2 linked regions of the Nothobranchius furzeri genome follow. Each later gene encodes a partner of the first gene's protein in a complex. Links are inferred from orthologs where the notes say so. Each region holds a gene or a part of one and is shown on either strand. Other genes may lie near its edges.

The links. Proteins that work in one complex are often made in the same cells at the same time.
Region 2: the proteins of crhr1 (region 1) and crhb are in contact, whole or in part, in a cryo-EM structure (PDB 6P9X), measured with the Homo sapiens proteins. The link is inferred for Nothobranchius furzeri from reciprocal best matches to the Homo sapiens genes CRHR1 and CRH. Residues at the interface, in NP_004373.2 of Homo sapiens: Lys113, Tyr116, His117, Ala119, Val120, Asn123, Trp169, Val172, Gln173, Met176, Ser177, Pro178, His181, Thr192, Tyr195, Asn196, His199, Phe203, Phe260, Gly261, Lys262, Tyr267, Tyr272, Gln273, Met276, Ile277, Leu280, Tyr327, Phe330, Phe331; in NP_000747.1 of Homo sapiens: Glu156, Pro157, Pro158, Ile159, Ser160, Leu161, Asp162, Leu163, Thr164, Phe165, His166, Leu167, Leu168, Arg169, Glu170, Leu172, Met174, Arg176.

The regions. Positions count from the first base shown.
Region 1 is NC_091746.1:33,510,631-33,514,284, forward strand, and holds part of crhr1 (corticotropin-releasing factor receptor 1), read left to right. Parts: intron 1-1,497; coding exon 1,498-1,651; intron 1,652-1,736; coding exon 1,737-1,797; intron 1,798-2,065; coding exon 2,066-2,138; intron 2,139-3,654.
Region 2 is NC_091747.1:51,584,425-51,587,649, forward strand, and holds crhb (corticotropin releasing hormone b), read right to left. Parts: upstream 1,819-3,225; 5' UTR 1,681-1,818; intron 1,261-1,680; 5' UTR 1,241-1,260; coding exon 728-1,240; 3' UTR 593-727; downstream 1-592. UniProt on the Homo sapiens protein: Hormone regulating the release of corticotropin from pituitary gland. Induces NLRP6 in intestinal epithelial cells, hence may influence gut microbiota profile.

The sequences.
Region 1 (3,654 bases):
ATCTCCTGCTCCATCTTTCCACCATTCTTAAACAAGACCCTGATATACTGATTTACTTTTTGTCTGTGAAGCACTTTGTGACTTGTGTCTGTGAAAAGTGGTATATATATATAAACTTCTTCTTCTTCTCCTTTTTAAAACTTTCCTCTTTGGGCTGGAACTTGTCCCTGACCTGGAACAGGTGTTCTACCCCTTTTTGACTCAAGAGCATGGTCTCAGATTTAGGCCCTGTCCACACGTAGCCGGGGATCTGCCAAAACTTAGATATTTTTCTACGTTTTGGCCTGTCATCCACACGAAAACTGAGTTTTTTTTTTCACACGAAAACGGATCTTTTTAAAAACTCTGGCCAAAGTGAAGACCTGCGTTTTCTCCATTTTGGGTGTCTGCGTGTGGACAGACAAAACCGGAGCTTTAAGGTCCGCAACGTCACGTTCCGCGACAAAAAAATGCTGACATCACGTGTGCGACCTGTGTTTACACTAGCCGACAGCATGGATGCCCACAGAGCTGCGCTCGCTTTATCAATTGTCCAAGCGCTTTCTGCTTGTTTGTTTTTGCAAGCGGAATTACTGCTCCTTGTGGAAGACCACAGACGAAGGACGAGGTTAAGAACGGGGGAAGCACTGCCGCCTACAGGTCTGGCATGTCCTTAACAACGTATTTATCCGAGTACGTGTGAACAGAGTTTTTTTTTTAAACGAGGTGGTGTGGATGCAAGTTTTTGGAGGGGCGGATATTCGTTTTTAAAAAAACCCGGCTACGTATGGACTAGGCCTTAGAGGAGCTGGTTCTCAGCTCAGTGATATAATAAATGCTAATTTGTGACACATGTGTGAGTCTCCTCTGTACGATAAACATTATGTCTGTATATTGCAAGAATGTAGAGAACCTTCACAGAACTAAGTTGAAGACATTTATAAATGATGTAGGAGAACATTAGACATCGTGGTGGATCAGAGCAAAGGGCTAAAGGCCAGAGTGTCAGTTCTGTCAGAGCTCAGTGAAAGAGGACAACTTCACTGAAATCTGAAGACATTGATTCTCCGAGGACAGGAAGATGTTTGGAGGTGTAAATATTTCATGCACTTCGGAGGAGTTAATAATGAAGCAATTAAAAGAATTTCCTTCCCACACAGTTCCAGCTGGTCTGTTTCCAATGTGCTGTTCATTAGCATGAATGACTCATGCACCGATCTAGGCCTCCTCCTTCATTTGGTTGTTCTCATCTGCCAATTTCTTAAACAGCCTCCTTAACCACACCAGTACAACTACAAATCCCACAATCCTTTGGAACAGCTCTGTTCTCCTAATCTACCTCCCTTCTCTCTTCTCTTCCTCCCCTCATCCCTACCTGTTTCTTATCCTCTTTCTCTTCCTTTTCCCTTCTTACTTCTTTTCTCCTTATCCTTGTTTCTCAATCTCTTGTCCTTCCTAAATCTTCTTTTTCCTCTTTATTTGTCCTCTTCCTTTGTCCTCCTCCTCCTCCCACCTCAGGCGTGGTGCAAGCTGGTGACAGCAGCATATAATTACTTTCATGTCACCAACTTCTTCTGGATGTTCGGTGAGGGATGTTACCTTCACACTGCCGTTGTTCTCACCTACTCCACCGACAAGCTCAGGAAGTGGATGTTCATCTGCATTGGCTGGGGTTTGTTCACCTTTTCCACCTGCTCTGCCGTCTCCCTTTTCCCGCCAGTTCTGTCCTCTCACCCGTCCATCCATTCTGGTCATAGGTATTCCGTTTCCTGTCATTGTGGCCTGGGCTTTTGGGAAGCTGTACTATGACAATGAGAAGTGAGTCACACAAAAACACTGAATCTATGTCTCAGTGGTCCAAGTGGAGCACAGGTTAATGCAACACATCTGTACCTGCCAGGTGTCATGTGACACCAACCTGAACTCTGCAGGTTAAGGATGTCACTGAGTTCCTGATGAAGTATGTTGAACAGAAGACTTTGTTTCATTGCAGCGGACAAAAATCCAGAATTTCATCAGTTCACAATGTCACAATCTCAATATTTGTCTGATTGATGTCTAATGGTTTCTGTGTTTTAACTGGAAGATGCTGGTTTGGAAAGAAGGCAGGTGTTTATACAGATTACATCTACCAAGGTCCGATGATCCTGGTCCTGCTGGTAAGCCCACCCTAAAGGATTAAGATCTTTTTCTTTATGTCTGTGAGATTATGACTAATCTTTATGCTGCCTTCTTGGACAAATAGTTGAACAGATTAGTTTTGACTGAACCCAGATCAATTGACTTTTATATCGGGTAACAACACTGGTCTCCTCAAAGCACTACACAAAAATTAGTGAGACAGTTTCAGATCCAGCCCAGATTTAGATCCAGCTAGATTATAATCTAGATCATGTAAACTGGAATCAGCAAATTTTATCTAATCTTCACCAACACAGCCCTTCATCCTGAGCAGAACAGTGGAGGGAAACTCTTTGAACAGAGAGTGTTTAGTTTTAATATGGGAGGGTTGAACAGGACACACTTCAACATTGTCACAAGTAAACTTCAATACAGGCTATGATTCAGTAGCTTCAATAAACATAATTTGTATAGTTAAAACAGAGAAACAGGACTGGACCCCTGAAACCATCACTATTGATGATCATTCAAAAGCAGCTGCAAGTTCTGCATTATCTTTTATTATTATCTAGGCTCCTCCCACTCAGTGGACAGGACACGCCTCAATATATCCATTTTTGATTATGTGAAAAGCTGACAGGAGTCAGGTCTTGTTCTAGTTGGATTAAAGCTCATGGTCTTTAATCAAGTGTTTGACACTAAGCCGATACACCTGTGGCGAAGCGGACAAACAGCCCACATATTGAACAGATCATCCTAATAGCATGATCAAAGCTGAAGGCAGGTGACTGTGACACAGGTTAGCATTCTGTTATCATGCTAATTATTTAACAAGAGGAACGAAACGTCCTTCAGAAATAGAACTGTGATGAACCATCTTTAGTCTGAGGAAACGGGAAAGAGACACTGATGCAGAAATGTTGGCCCTGTCAAGTTTTCAATAAAAAATAGAGAAAACCAAATCAATGGAAGCCATCCATTCATTTTCGGCCGCTTATCCGAGGTCGGGTCACGAGTGCAGTAGGCTAAGCAGGGAGCCCCAGACTTCCCTCTCCCCATCTTTTGTACTTTCTTGCTGTGTTTGTCTTCAAATTCCATTTTTGTTTTTGTTTTTTTAAACACAGATAAGGTTTTTCTTTACCTTGCTGACATTTCGTTTGCGGTTGCAAACATCTTCAGAGCTGACACGGATGGTGGCGTCACTTCCTACTCAGTTTATCCGTGGGCAGCAGAGGATGTTGTCGCCTTCTGCTGCCTGCTCTCCCCTCTCCCCAGCCACTTGGCTGGATTCTCATCCCAGCTGCTTCACACTCGGCTGCGAACCGCTCCAATGAGAGCTGGAGATTACTGGCAGCAACAACAGTAAATAAAACATGGAGAGTAAAGGCAGCAAAATGAATAAATGTGGTCAGTCTGTCCTCCAGCAGCATAACTAAAGGGATTAGAATATAAATACAGACACCTTCTGAAAACTGATTAATGAGCTGCAGCACAGCCCGGACCAACATACATTTCTGCCATTTTGAAAAACTAGAATTTAAAAAATGTCACCGT
Region 2 (3,225 bases), on another chromosome or scaffold:
TTCACACTCATTAGCCACGAGTGGTGCATCTTGGAGCTGTCTCTTGCTGGCATAATGAGAATTACCTCTTGAGGATTGAGCTGCACGCTTATTGTGATAGCCCACATGAACAGAGGAGATCCTAAAGCTTGCTTGTTCAAATGTTCTGCAGGGGTTGCATATTTTTCTGTGCAAAAATGTAACTTTTTACATTTGCAGCAAATATATATTATTGAGTGTCTGTTTTGGCAGGATGCAGCAAACTTTAGCTTTTTTAATACCTATTTTAATGTGTCAGATTTAAAAAGAGGATTTCTTGTTTTTTGATTAAATTAGCATTTATTTCTGTTAGTTTCTATTCAGTTATATGTAAGGATATTGACAGAGAAGTTTAAGCATTGATTTTATTTGTTTTATTAAAAAATATATGTTTGCACAACAGAACATTTCTGTTTGCACATAAGTTTATTAACAAACATAAACGTCATAAGTACAGTGATTCTTATGGTCTAAAACAAAATACCATTTCCTGTTTATGGAAATCAAACAAAGATGTGTTGTAAGATGTGAAACTTGACCCGTTCAGGTCCGTTTATGCTCCATAATTTCAGGTTAAAGCTAGAAATCATGAAGTGAAAAAGCAGCACTATGTTGCACATGGCACGTTGTTGTGCTAAGAACAATAAATAAATAAAAAATAAATAAAAACTGAGGAGACTGAGATCTTTGGCGGGTTGGAATGAGGTCTTCATTTTCCGAACAGCTCCATCATCCTTCTGTTGTTTTGCGCCTGCTGCGCCAGCTGTTCCGCCCGGGACATCTCCATCATCTCCCGGAGCAGGTGGAAGGTCAGGTCCAGGGAGATCGGTGGGTCCTCGGACCGTCTTCCCCTCTCCATCGACTCGTCTCCGGGGCCTGCGAAGCCGCTTATCAGCGCCCGGATGTTCCCAACTTTCCCCTGCAAGAGGCGCCGCGTCAGCTGGAGCTGCAGCGCCCTGTTGAAGATGGAAGATGATCCGCCGGGATACAAGGACGTGGCTGGAAATGAGTTCGAGTCCCCGTTTCCCAGTCGGATGAAATACTCCTCTCCCAGGCGCTCCAGAATAGGACCAGACTGGTGCTGAGGCTGCTGTTGGGAGTTTTGGGCTTGGGGAGCTGGTACGCGCAGCGTGCCGCCTGGGCTCTCAATAGCCCGACATTCGTGGCGCGGTAAGAAGGCAACAAGCAGAATCACGGTGGTACCAAATAAATTGAGCTTCATGTCAGGATATCAGCTGGAATCTGAGAACAAAAGACAAAGAGGACACATTTTTGGGTTAGTGTTAATGTACGCGCGCAAATGGCGCTGCGTAAAGATGCTTTTGCGCACGCAAAACAGACACTTGAACAATCAGTCATTTTAACTTATATTTTAGGGTAACATTGAACTAATATTGATGTGATTCGCTGACTATTTTTATTATTAATGACATGGGGGACGGGAGATTGGAGCAAAAAACGATCTGCGCGCAAATTCGGATTTGGTTCCAAACATGACTTTTAGAAACAAAGCAAACAAAACGAGGGAAATACTTTCACTGAGAACCGAAATACAAATTCATATGTATTTATCTGAAGAATTAGAGTAATCAAATCAAATGAACATTATGAATTAACCTGTAACAGAAAGTGGAGGTTAGAATAGGAAAACCCTTTCCATACCTTCACTGCAGGTAGTCCAGTCGCCTACAGCCGTGTAGGTTGCCAGGTATTCGGTGAGGTGCCGCCCTCTTTCACTTCTTTGAAGAAACAAGCATCTAGTTACTTAAAGAGGAGATGCTGAATGGCACTTATATAGCCACCGTCACTACAAGTGCGTCTCTGAGCCGACGTTGAGTCTGCGCGCTCCTGCCTGGGTGGAACGTGAATGGACGCCTCTAAAGTGCTTTGGTTCAGATGAGATGAGTCATAAGTGAGCGTGCGTGCGCGTGCACGAGCGTCGACCCCTGTGCTTTCAGAAGGTGTGTGTGTGGGGGTGGGGGGGTGGGGGTGGGGGTTAGGTGCCACACCTGAATGAGTTAGATTCTTAGATTCCAAGAAGGCACAAGTCAGAAGTTGAGGGTAGCTTAGGGCAGAGACCAGCTTCAAACATCATTTGTTTAATCTGCTGTTGATCTTTAAAGAATTAGATGTTCCAGTATGTAATTTCTGATTTATTATTCCCAAAATGATCGTGGAAACGCTAAGGGGGGATTTGGGGGTGCATTCCAATACGAACCCACTTCTGCACAGTGCATTAATAACGATTCTTAATCTGTTGACCTGTGATGCATGCACCCTGGGCTCATGGAGAGGTGATGCTCCCAGTGATTCTTTGCTGACAAGTGCTGCTATTTTTGTGCAGTGCTTTGTATTTATTAATCCAACGTCTGTAAAACACATCAAGCTTTTTGTAACTGAATGATGTTGACTTTTTCACAGATCTTTTAGACTTTAGACTTGTGTTTTGTCTCTGAGATGTACCTTAAGAACAAATACAACATTTTATTTAAACATTCATTTTGATAGCCTGAGGTGAGGATGAATAATTCATTTACATCCTCTTTTTTTCCGATCAAGTCTTTTTGAGCTTTATTCTTGTTTTACTGAATCCTCCTTCTAGCAAAGCAGTCATATTTTCTCGGGCAAGACACGTAACCCACATGGTCGGAGGGACCGGTGGCACCAGTGCTCAGCAGCCTTGCTTCTGTCAGTGCGCCCCAGGACAGCTGTGGCTACTATGTAGCTCATCAACACCAGGGTGTGAATGTGTGTGTCAATGAGTGGATGATAGGACTCTGAAAGGAACTATATAAAATTCAGGTATTTACCATTTGCTTAGAACTCCAGTTTGTTAACTTAAACTTTAGACTTGCATCTTAGGTGTGTTCTTGCTGTGTCTTTCTAAATCCATGCTTTCGTTCTTTTTTAAACACAGAAACAGTTTTGTTGACCTGTTTGTAGCCAGTTTCGCCGACGGCTGCCGGCTTCTTCAGGCTGACGCTGATGGTGGCGCGTCACTTCCTTCTCCGTTTATCTGCGGGCAGCAGAGGACTTTGTCGCCCTCTACTGCCTGCTCTCCCCTCTCCGACGATGCAGTCCCATGCGTGGTCCAGCGTGTAAACTCCGTCGTCCCTGTTCATGGTCCCACATCCACGTCTCCTTATCTCGATTGCTTCCTTGATCCATCTTTTGTATTTTTGTTGTTCGGTGGTTATGATCCGTGTG